Danio rerio: one gene and its partner. The protein of the gene in region 2 interacts with the protein of the main gene of each other region in a pairwise test. Links are inferred from orthologs where the notes say so. Each region holds a gene or a part of one and is shown on either strand. Other genes may lie near its edges.

What was found.
Region 1: the proteins of wdr6 (region 2) and ptpn3 interact in binary tests that used the Homo sapiens proteins (3 or more experiments, as listed by UniProt). The two-hybrid records come from large-scale screens. The link is inferred for Danio rerio from reciprocal best matches to the Homo sapiens genes WDR6 and PTPN3.

Annotation. Positions count from the first base shown.
Region 1 is NC_133191.1:29,689,991-29,695,958, forward strand, and holds part of ptpn3 (tyrosine-protein phosphatase non-receptor type 3), read left to right. Parts: intron 1-3,390; coding exon 3,391-3,478; intron 3,479-3,585; coding exon 3,586-3,674; intron 3,675-3,985; coding exon 3,986-4,049; intron 4,050-4,228; coding exon 4,229-4,359; intron 4,360-4,454; coding exon 4,455-4,580; intron 4,581-5,968.
Region 2 is NC_133183.1:28,126,623-28,133,103, reverse strand, and holds the start of wdr6 (tRNA (34-2'-O)-methyltransferase regulator WDR6), read right to left. Parts: upstream 3,564-6,481; 5' UTR 3,460-3,563; exon of another isoform or gene 3,377-3,459; coding exon of another isoform or gene 3,374-3,376; intron 1,627-3,373; coding exon of another isoform or gene 1,597-1,626; coding exon 1,500-1,596; intron 596-1,499; coding exon 1-595. UniProt on the Homo sapiens protein: Together with methyltransferase FTSJ1, methylates the 2'-O-ribose of nucleotides at position 34 of the tRNA anticodon loop of substrate tRNAs. Required for the correct positioning of the substrate tRNA for methylation.

The sequences.
Region 1 (5,968 bases), on a different chromosome or scaffold from region 2:
ATTAAAAACTCTCTGTGTATCAATCCACTGGAACCTTGCAGATGAGTGATTAATCCGCTGATAAATCAGCTGATTTGACGATGTTTTTAAATGCTTTCTCCAAAGCTTGAAACGCTGTCAGTGATGTAATCAGCACACAAGCAGCCAATAGTGTTCAGCTTTTTCTGACGACTCCTCCCTCAAAATTTCATTGGCTGTGGTTTGGTAGCTTGAATGAGCTGATGGGGAATGAGTTGTTGTCAGATCATGTAGTGTGTGACCCCCCTCTTGTGGATCATTCACAGAGTGTTGCGTAGTGTGAACACCTCAGAGATTAAAAGACACAAAGTCAAGTCATGTAGTGTGAACGGCACAGCGAACTGCTGATGTTAAAAAAAATCCTGTAGTGTGAACTAGGCTTTAGTCACACCACGTGGCACTACCTGCTCTGCTTTTACTTAAAAAAAGTTCACTCAAAACTGAAGATTCTGTCATCATTTATTCATGCTACACTTATTCCAAACCTCGCTGAGTTTATATCTTCTGTTCAACCAAAAAGAAAAGAAGATCTCTTAAAGAAAGCTGGAAAACTGTAACCATTGACCTACGTGGTATTTGTTTTTCATAGTGTGAATGTTAATGGTTAGCGGCTTTCAGCTTTCTTTAAAACATCTTCTTTTATGTTCAGCAGAATAAAGAATATTAAAAAGGTTTGGAACCACTTTAGGGTTTTAATTTTCTTTTTCTTTTTTTTTGTGAAGGGTGAACTATCTCTTTACCATTACACAATAACAAGTGACAATGTTGGATTAATTTAACCATGCAGGTTCAAAATAAAGAGTGAAATGTTACCAGAATTGTAAGGCATTTTGTGTCTTGCTCTCTAGTTTCTACAGTGTCAGACATGGTAATAGTAATTATTTGCTTTTAAAGTAGTTTAACTGAATTTTAAGCACCTGAAAATGTGTTCCTAATGTCAATATACTAGCCATGATGCCATTCATCATCTCAGCTACCTTCTATACACAACACCCATAGTTTAATTTTCTTTAAAAATCATAGAAAGTCAGATGCGAAAAAGTATTTATAAGCACATAACATATTAAAACCCCACATAGATGTGGGTGGGGTGGGGGTGATTCTGTCATAGTCAGACTTGCAGATCTGGCAAAGTGTGGATGAATAATTAAAAAGCAATGCTGTAGTACCAATTGTTCAAACATGATTTTTCAGTTGTAAGATATCTTCTATTGAGAGGTTCTTGTTTTTGTCATCATGTGGGTCGATTTTTAAACCAAATGGGAGGAAGATTTAGATACTGATTTTGATGAGGAAACATTGGATGACATTTGGTCTTAGGCTAAGAAAGTATCTCTTTGTACACGTACAAGAGAAATACAATATAAAATGATACATATCTCCATACATGACTCCACATTTCTCCTCACCACAGACATCTTTTTAACCCTTCTAATTTGCCTCTGTGTTTAAAATGTAAAACTGATGTAGGTACTGTAACAGACTGCAAAAGTTTTGTTTTTGGTTCTGAGGAAAATGGAAAAGATCTTTAACATGCAGCTGGATTTTGACCCAGTTTCACTGATTTTGTGTATACCTAATAGATGCATTTGTTCATCAGCTAATAAGAAATTGTATAATATATTAACCTTTGCCGCCAGAAAATTTTTTTACTTTACTGGATTAGTGATAAATCTCCATTACTTAAAGGTTGGCACTAGATGCACAAGATCATTTTTGAGTTAATTCCCCTGGAACATCTTACCCATGTTTTACACCAAAAAAACAGAACATTTTTCCAAAGTTTGGATTCCATATTTGGATTATTTAGAAGCTAGTCTTTGCCCTATCATAAAAAGGAAAAGGAATGTTGAAACTGTATTATTATCTGAATTAGATGTTTTTAGCCCTTATTCTGATCTGTTTTATTTTGTGTGGTCCTGTTTTATATATAATCTGAACTTTTTTATTTTCCTTTTTTCTCCATTGTTTTGTGTCAATATTTGTCTTTTGAAGATGTTTTGTTATGTCTGTGTTATTGTGAAATTCCAGTAAACATAATTATGAGCTTCAAAGTTTTTGCATTCCATATAGCAAACAGTATGTGTGTAACATTTGTATTTTAAATAAAAAATCTTAAAATGTAAACAATTTATAAAAAAAAAAATCCCAGAATGTATAATGTATAAATTGTCATTAAATCAGATTATGTCAATTTTGACAAAAACGTCAGATAGAACCTTATAATTCTAAGGTGATGATTTAATGGAAGTAGGGTTGTGCGATTAATTGAATCGCAATCATGGTTTGAAACATTGCGATTAGCTAATCGCAGAAGGCTGCGATATGAAATATATATGTATTATATAATTTCCCCCACCCAGAGCAAATGCATGACTGCTTTCTGCATGTGATAGTCTTACTAGCCAATTGAGTGAGCACACTTTCGTTCTGCCCAAACAGAATTGCGCAACCAAACTGTGGAAAGCCCACAATAAAACATACAAACAAACAGGAAAGAGTGGATAAGTGGGATGATGGCGTTTGCCGCTTCATAAGCATTAATAGATGGTAAATGTCAGTAATATGGGAATATTTTGCTTTCAAAGTCACAGACACCAAACAAAAACAGGTCATTTGTAAGAGCTGTCACAGAATTGTTGCCACAGAATGAGGAAATACAACAACCAGCACTTAAAAAAGCACCACAGGCGGCTATTTGAGGAGTGTCTTGCTAAACAGTCAACTAAATTTATTGCCAGTGACACTCAATCTAGTAGCTAGCAACAGCAAAGGACAATTTCAGTGTTTTTTGCAGCTGTTACACCATATGAAAACATCACAAAGGCACCAGGGGATAACTAATGCCAGAACTCACTACTGTTTGCTCTAGATACAAATTAATGTTTAGTTTCTGAATATTTATAAACAAATTTGAATAGAAGTTGGAGTAAGTTCCTTTTTTAACTAACGCTCACCTCATTTTAGCAGTAAGAAGCTACAATACAGAATTTTGAGACAACGCTTGACTGCAAAATTAAATCGGAAATCAAATCGAAATCACAATATCGAAAAGTCAAAAAATCAAGAAATCGCAAGTAGATATTTTCCCCAAATCGCACAGCCTTAAATGAAAGTATATTTCTCTGGTTAAACTTACCCTATACTTATCTCTCAAATTAAATGGTAGTTTAACGCTCAATAAATAGTTTTAATTTAATTTGACTATTTTTTTTACCAATTAGCATGGAATGGGAAAAAATATATTTAAAAAAATGTGATTTGAAAAAGCAAAACTGAATTTGGAAAAAGATATTACACTGATTTCACTGTGCCCTATTTGATTTTCACCGCATGCAGAGTTTAACAGTGCTTGTCTGAATGTGTGTTCAGAGGTCTCTCTCAGAGTGACGCCGAGCTGTGCTATTTAAATACAGCCAGAACATTAGACCTGTATGGAGTGGAGCTGCATCATGCTCAGGTGCAATTTGCATTGAAAATCCTGCAGCTATAATAACATGTAATCTTGTTTTAAATTGGTCATGTTGATGAATGATTTAGTTCTCTTTTTTTAATCCCTGTCTATAGGATGCCAGCAACCCTGCCGTTTGGGTGGGCATTACATCAGGGGGCGTGGCCTTGTTTTGTCATTTAATTTGCTCCAGCTTTTTCCCCTGGTGAGTTCTGCCAATCAGATCCCTTTCCCTTTCTCTCTTTGTAAGTACATATTTTGACACATGCTTAATTTTTGTTCTTAAAAAGTCCACTTTTTTAACATTAATGTTTCTCTCTACTATAATTGACGTTTGAGAGTGCTACAACTATCGGGTTATGATCTGTGTTGTGATTATCATTACAATGAATAATTTACAAACACTGCAGAAAAGTATAATTAGTGTTATTAGTCTAATTAAAAGCCCTCAAACCACTGTTTTGATTCTGGTGTCATTTATTTCTGCACACTTTTGAATGCCTCCTTTCTTTTCAGGATTAACATCATCAAAATTTCATTCAAAAGGAAGAGGTTCTTTGTCCACCTACGCCGAAAACATGTAAGATACGCATGCCTAATCATGCTCATCCATCAAAACAAAAACAAAACACATAAATTAGCCTAATAAAGCCACATATTTAATGCCTGAAAGAGTCTGAACACTGCAAAGGCAACATCTTTGTTTCCGACTTGATGATTTGTGTTGTGTGTTTTTCCTCATTTTAATATATTGCACAGGGTGAGCTGGGCCACCATGTGGTTTCTCTATCCATGCCAAATTCACGTGCCTGTAAGAACCTGTGGAGATCCTGCGTGGACCACCACACCTTCTACAACAGGAAACCATCTCATTCAGCTTCAAAACTGAGGTGAATAGGCAGTCTTTATTCCTGGAGTTAATTAGAGATCATTGCTGCCAACACCAAATGAGTATGTGAGTTTAATTGCATGTGTTTTGTTAAAGCTCTATTCCCCTGTACCGAAAGCTGGTAGGAGAGCAAATGTTGAACCCAATGGTGAGGTCCAGCTCAGTGGAACAACTGGAGACCAAGAGTCTACCCTCACGGTCACCACCTAACACACCTAACTGGTAACTATGCTATATTATAGATCTTTTTTAAAGGAATGATTGAAAGCATTTTATGTATGTATTGTACAAACAACACAAACTTTTTTTTTTGATGAATTATAAAAGGGCCATTATATTTTACAACATAATATTATACAGTTGAAATCAGAATTATTAAACCTCCTTTGAATTTTTTTCTTTTTTTAATATTTCCCAAATGAGGTTCAATAGAGCAAGGACATTTTTACAGTATGTCTGATAATATTTTGTCTTCTGGAGAAAGTCTAATTTGTTTTATTTTGGCTAAAATAAAAGCAGTTTTTAATTTTTTAAAAGTCATTTTAATGTCAAAATTATTAGCCCCTTTAATCTATATATATTTTTTGATAGTCTACAGAACAATCCATGGTTATACAATAACTTGCCTAATTATCCTAACCTGCCTAGTTAACCTAATTAACCTAGTTAAGCCTATAATCTCACTTTAGGCTGTAAAGAAGTGTTTTAAAAAACATCTAGCAAAAAATCATTTACTGTCATCATGACAAAGATAAAATAAATCAGTTATTAGAAATGAGTTATTAAAACTATTAGAAATGTGTTAAACAAATCTTCTCTCTGTTAAATAGAAATTGGGGAAAAAAATAAACAATAATAATTAATAATTCTGACTTCAACTCAAAATAACATTGGGTCATTTTTCATTGAAACCATGCTATATACTGTATGTATGCATGTATATGTGTGTGTGTGTGTGTGTGTGTGTGTATATATATATATATATATATATATATATATATATATATATATATATATATATATATATATATATATATATATATATACATATATATACATATATATATATCTTTTGAGTAGAAGAGAAACACAATTTTCAACTTTCTTTTTAAATGCAAATGAGCTGCTTTTCCACACCCCCTTTATCAGAAGTGGGTGGTTACTTTGCAGCTGTTACTCAGATCAAACAAATGATCTTGCTGTGTTCTTTAAAACCTCGTCTGATTAAACGTCCTGACATTCTGAGCATACAGATGCCATAAATCCTCTTTCATTGTCAACTGTTAAATACACACTAGCTTTTGTCAAAACATTCCCACAGTGTTTTGTATGTCTTTAATAAAGGCAGTTGGTGACAGTGTCGGGGAAAGGTACTTTTGAATGTAACATATTACAATATTGAGTTATTCTCCCAAAAATTAACTAGTTGCATTACTTGGTTACTTTTTATGGTAATAAAATTATGTTACATTTGCATTACTTTTTCTTACCTAGCCGAAGCTTGATCTCTTTCAGAACATTGGGGTAGTTTTTTTTCTTTTTTTTTTTAAAAAACAGAGAAGCTCTGCAATTAACACCACACTGTATAACCTACACCTTCATTCACTTTT
Region 2 (6,481 bases):
CCAGATTCCTGAAGGTAGCAAAGGCTGAAAATGACTCCACTGTGGCCCAGTAGACGTCTCTCTACTTGGGACTGACCACTGAGCTTGGTTCCAGCTGGCCTCCACAAAACAAGCTGGTTGAAGACCGTCCCACCCACCAGCACTACAGAGTCCCAATTTGGACCAACCATAAGTGCTGAGTAAAGAAGACAAGTCTCTACGCACGAGTAAAAGGAGATAATGTTACCAGACTCTGCTTCTAGGAGCATGATGGCATTGTGGGCCAAGGATATGCCTAACAGTGAATGAGGTTGTCTTTTAAAACAATGAATGTCCAGCACCCAGTCTTGAAGCTCCAAGAGAGGACCAATCAGTTTCAGGCACTGCCCTTCAGATTCGAAGCTGACAAGCCGAACTCCTTTTCCTCCAAAAACAATAATATCTCCCTTGTAGCTGTTGTCCGAAGCAGAGCTTGCACCACTAAACGGTATTCCTCCAGACTGATGTTTTTTATATGGTCGTATCCCATGGATACGGTAGTTTTGGAGTACATTTATAGATGCACATTTCTTAGGAGATGCTTGAAGACTGTAGACAGAGAGGATTGGTCCCTCCCCTACAACACAACACAATTGATAGGGAAGAATCAATCAAATGAATTTTAATATGAGACACAAGTGCACTTCAACATAACATTCGAATATTATTAAAGAAGGAAATCTTAAAGCTAAATCAGTTTATTTGGTGAAAACATTGATAGTAGTGCAAAGCAGGCAATTGAACACAGTTACAAACAAAACATCTAAAACATTTAAAATAGGCAACATTGCAGAATTAGAATTTGTAAAATCAATAGCAGAAAATTATACAACTATGGAAAAACAAATGAGGGGATTACAGTGCAATTTAGAGCAACCTCATTATGAAATAAACACAAACACAATGGCTGCATCCAAAATCGCATATTTGCATACTATATAGTATGTTAAAAACAGTATGCAAACCGAGTAGTACATCCGAATTCATAGATTTAAAAAAACAGTATGCGAAAAGTACCCGGATGACCTACTACTTCCGACGAGAATCTGAAATGCATATTTGATGCACGCTACGCTATCACATGATGCCCAGTGAGAGAATTTATGAATGTGAGTGAAGCAACGCAACTGATGTTTTGGTCACATGATGATGACAGAATGGCAGATGTAGTAGGTCAGAGTTTCATTCATACTACTTACATTCATACTTTATAGAACATACTTTTTAAAAGTAGAGTAGTAAATTCAAATACAGTGCATTCTGAGTAGTAGACAATTTCGGATGCAGCCAATGTCATTGGGATTATTAAATGCACTAAATTTACCTAAAATAATTTGAGGGACATTAGGAGACACTTCAGGTTGCTTAGAGAAATCACATCCATATTGGCCCATGAGTCACAGTCTACATAATTTACTTCACCGTGGATTGTTAGCTTGTTGATTTGCTTCCTGTTCATTAAAAGAATGAATGTCAGTCACCTGTCAAAAGAAAATCCTCCCCTAGGAATTCCAGTGCAGTGATGGGAGCAACAAGCACAGCACTCTTCACCACAGCAGACTCTACAGGAGATGCCATTTCACAGTCTGCACAGCAGGCTGTAGACTTCTGGGGCACACACACACACACACACACACAAACATTACAGCATTATTCATTACTGACTGATCTCCTGAAATGTCATTTTCAAAAGGCAGAACCTGAACAAATGCAAAATGCTTGCTATGGCATTTATTACACGATCAAATCGATGTTATGATATAATAATAATTAACCTACTAGAGCTGCTGGTCACATGGCAGTTACCAAAGCTACTAAATTTGTTTAAATAATTTGGAATAATATAAAACAGAGCTGTCCAAACTTGGACAAAAGTTGGCCCACGGTAACCTTTGATTTGGCCCTCCATCCCATCTAAGAGGAGAGGTAAAACGATGGGGAATTTTGGGGAGAATGCCAATTTTATTTTTACATAACTTTTGTTTTTGTAACTGTCGAGGTAAAAAAAAGGCAGACTGAAATTAAACGTTTCACATAAAGCTATGAAAAGCTATGAATGAAAGCTATGAATCAGAATTAATTTTAATTAATTAAAAAATATTTAAAGTAATTTGATGGATAGCGGACATTGCAGAAGACATCAGCAAGCCAATTAAGGCAAAATGATTTTTGTGTTATAAATGGGATTGTTTATGTTTTTTATTGTAAGATGTTCATTATAAAATGTACAAAAGTTTATAATTGTTAATGCAATAAAAATATTTTAAATGCAATAAATTATGGAATTAATTAATTTATATAATATAATAATAAATTAGAAAATAACATTGACAACTTCATGGTTTGGTATATTTACCTCTGGCCCACCACTCTCAATCAAGTTTAGTTTTTGGCCCTTCATAAGAAAAGGTTGGGACACCCCTGATATAAAATAATTTGGGGATACTTGGCAAAATTTGTTTTTAATACTGAAAAACAAAAATTAAAAGTTTCATATCTGATATAAATTGCATATTTTCCAATTAGTCTTTTTAATTTTAAACTGCAAGTAGTGTATATATAATTTATTATATGAAAAAAAAATTAAGTTTGAGGTTAATATGTCAGAAAGCTATCTTTCTGTATGATTTTGTTTGAGTGTTGAGGCAAATATTTCTGCTTGAAGTCGTTTCCCATTAATTTTCACTTCGGTCATTTTTTATCACAATTAACAAAAGTGTGATTATTATTTGTTGTTTCAGGAATATTTTAGCTCTTTATGAAGGCCTTTATAAATCAGATTAGGTAAAAAAAAAATAAATTAATGAATGAAAACATGTCAAAAATTGATAACTACATTTTAAATTAATTTATCATAATTGCAAAACAAAATTGAGTATTGTGCATCCTAATGCAAATATTATGTTGGATATTAATTTTATTTTACAGTAATTGAAATAAAACCACAACACCCTTACTTTAAAAATGTATTTCATTATCTTTACTTTAATTATTCTAGATTATTGACACATGATGTGGATTATTAAGATATGTCAAGTAAACAAACTTTCTTAACTGAATAATTAAGCCCAGACTAACATCACCCATTTACAATTAATTCCAGTTTCCTTTATATTACACGTATATCTGTACTTTGAAAATAACGTAAACCATCACTGTCTAAAGTTAGAAACAAATGATAAAGGGTCTTTAGCCAGCTGGTGTGCAATGACTGTTAACTGCAGTAGGATTAAATTCAATTTGAGATACATGATTTTCCAAAAGGCAGTTGCAATAAAATGTGCTTTTATAAACGATTATCGGTTTACTTTTTACAATAATGAACGTCAGTAACTTATCAGCAAGACATATTTACCATAAAGTGGATCTTCCAGCAGTGATTTTACACGTTTCTCGTACAGTTGTAGCAACCAAAATTCAATTAGCTTAAATTTCACAAACCTGTCTCCTGTAGAGATCGTGCCTTTATTTTAAAGACAATAAAAACAAGGTCGTTTATACTGCATCAAGCATGTTTCGTACTGTATGCATGTGTTTTCACTTCCTCGTTGACACCGAGTACCGTCCAATCGCGCTGTTCAATACTACACACACCGAACCACACTGACAACCGATTGGCTGAAACCAGTCCTGCGCTTTCCACTGTGAAAACGCGTAGATTTGTGCAATTTGCCAGATGCACAAACCATATGTATTGAGCAGATCTCATGAGAATGGTATACAAATCATACGAAATGCACAAACCAGTGAATTGCCTTTTTTTACGCCCTGAGCGTCATTTTGCGCATGTGTCTCCGGTCTGTTATTTAAATTTCTTATGGACCGCTTAAACCCAGGGGGTGGGGACAAAGTGTAATATTTTCGGGATAAAATCGACAGCCTGATGATTGCATGTAAGTAGTGTCAATGTGGATAATATAATAACAGTTGTCATACGCTGTGTGTGTGTAAATGCACAATAGCTTAATTAAGGAGAGTGGTCTCGGGATAGTCTTAAACCGCAGCTCGGGTTCACTTCTAGTGCGATGCTCGGGTTTAGCGCTATGGCTAGCATGACCGGCGGACAAATACAGTTATAACAATTAGTACCGTAACAATGAAAATGCTGCACCTGCACCTGTAGGACTTGGCGAGACATGCATTTAATTGCTTGATTTTTTTTTCTTTGTTCATTCTTTAATAACGATGCGATTCACTCTGAGCGAATTGTTCTTTTGAGTCTGACCATTAATGAATCAGTTGAGCTGGTACACAAAACCGAACGATTCCGAACCGAATCGCAGCGAGCCGAGCAAGCATTTGGCCTAAAAAAAAAAAAACTTGTGTTAAAGCAGCCACTAGAATATTTTGTACAAACATTAGTAGCAGCGCAGAGTTTAGTGCAAAAATACAAAGAATTGTCAGCCAAGAGTAGTCTTGTAAATATCTATTATGTTAATTGCAAAAATTACCTTTATGACAATTTATTTAACAAACTTAAAATTAATGTAAACATTTACAATGTATGTAGAAATAAAATTAAAAAGTCTCAAAGGGATATTTAAAAAAAAGAAAATTTACTGGAAATACGCCAGGGCCATCCAAACTCTGTGCTGGAGGGCCGGTGTTTTGCAGAGTTTAGCTCCAACCCTAATCAAACACACCTGGACCAGCCAATCAAGCAGGTGTGTTAAAGCAAGTTGAAGCTAAAGTCAAGACACCGGCCCTTCAGGACCGAGTTTGGACACATCTGTCCAAGGCCATCCAATTGTATAGTGACTAGGCACAGGATGATAACTGGCTAACATTTTCTTTTATACTGTTCCTAAGGTATTTGTAGTTTTTAAAATGTTTTTTATGACTAATTTAGTTTTTGGGCAGCAGTATCTCCAGAAGAAATTAACCCTCCACATCAAAAGCTACTGGTCAGCCTGCAATTCAGGAAATATTTGAGAAACAAATTATAAACTATAACATCCAAACATGCTTTAGACCTGAAAAGTGCAGAGACTTACTTTAAATCCAAAGAAAAGTATATCATCTTTGCTTCAAATTCCAAAAAAAGAATTACCGCTTGTGGTAACCGCTCTTTTAATGCAGTGTCTATGGGACAGGAAATTCAATTTTACTTTATTCTCTCCTCTGGCTGCCAATTCTTTTCCTCTTTTTGAACGTCTTTAAATAGGTATGTAAATTTTTTTTTAGATAGTTAGATATCAAAAGATGCCTTTTAAAGTTGCAAAGAAATCTGTTTTTGAAACTAATGAAGATTTTTATTATGTCGCCTGACATGTTTACTGTTTCAAAATATTGAAAATGTTTCTTAAAATAAAATGTGTTGTGTTCAAAGGGGGGGAAAGTTGTTTGTTTACCCAGACATTTAAAAAAACATAAACAACTCATTTTAGAGCGGTAATCACAATACCAAGAAACTGGGATATTTTTATCCAAGGTTATCATACCGTCAGAATCTTATACCAGCCCATACCTAGTAGTGACTTATTTAATTCAGTCTGTGTAAATAATTCATTACAGTTCAACTATTTATTTTTTTACAACATTATTCCACAGGCTCACCAAATGGTCCTGAATGTGTTTACAAATCTTGTCACATATCTGTAAATAATATTTCGTGGACAGACGGATCGATTTTCTTCATAAGACTTCAGTGTATGTACAGGAACAACTCATTAGTTTAGTTTTGCCTATATATATATATATATATATATATATATATATATATATATATATATTTATATATATTTCTTTGTTTGAGTCCCAAAGTTCTGGTAGCCATTGACTTGCATTTTATAAATGACCAATAATCCAAATGCAATCTCAAACATAACTGTAACTTATAGCGTGGAAAAAAGAATGCTATGGATCCCTTTCACACGCCTGTTATGATGCGTTTAACGGTCATCAGCATCTTAAATCCTTGAAAGTTTTAAAAATTTTGATTTAAAAAAAAAAACATATGAACATTAATGTGTATTTATGTCTGTAGTATATCATCTTTGCTTCAAATTCCAAAAAACGAATTACCGCTTGTGGTAACTGCTCTTTTAATGCAGTGTCTATGGGACAGGAAAGTAAATTTATTTTATTCTCTCCTCTGGCTGCCAATTCTTTTCCTCTTTTTGAACGTCTTTAAATAGGTATGTAAAAAATTTTTTGTTGTACTTTCCCATTTACTGGGCGCTAAGTTTTCCCAACTATGATGACTTCCTCTACTGAGAAACCCGTAAATGTGAAAAGAGTCTACAGTGGCAAGTGTTGACACAAAACATGTGAAATTTGATTGTGTCAGAATGCACAGTGTAACTGTCAACCAAGTGCACCATACATGCGTAAAAACTGAAGCCAAAACTGTTTGAGTGCCCCCCTGGTGGATGGCTGCAGTATAGGTCATAAATCCATATAAACTAATAGAATGTGCACAAAATATTCAATTTTTCAAAAAGATGGTTGTCATCATGCAGAT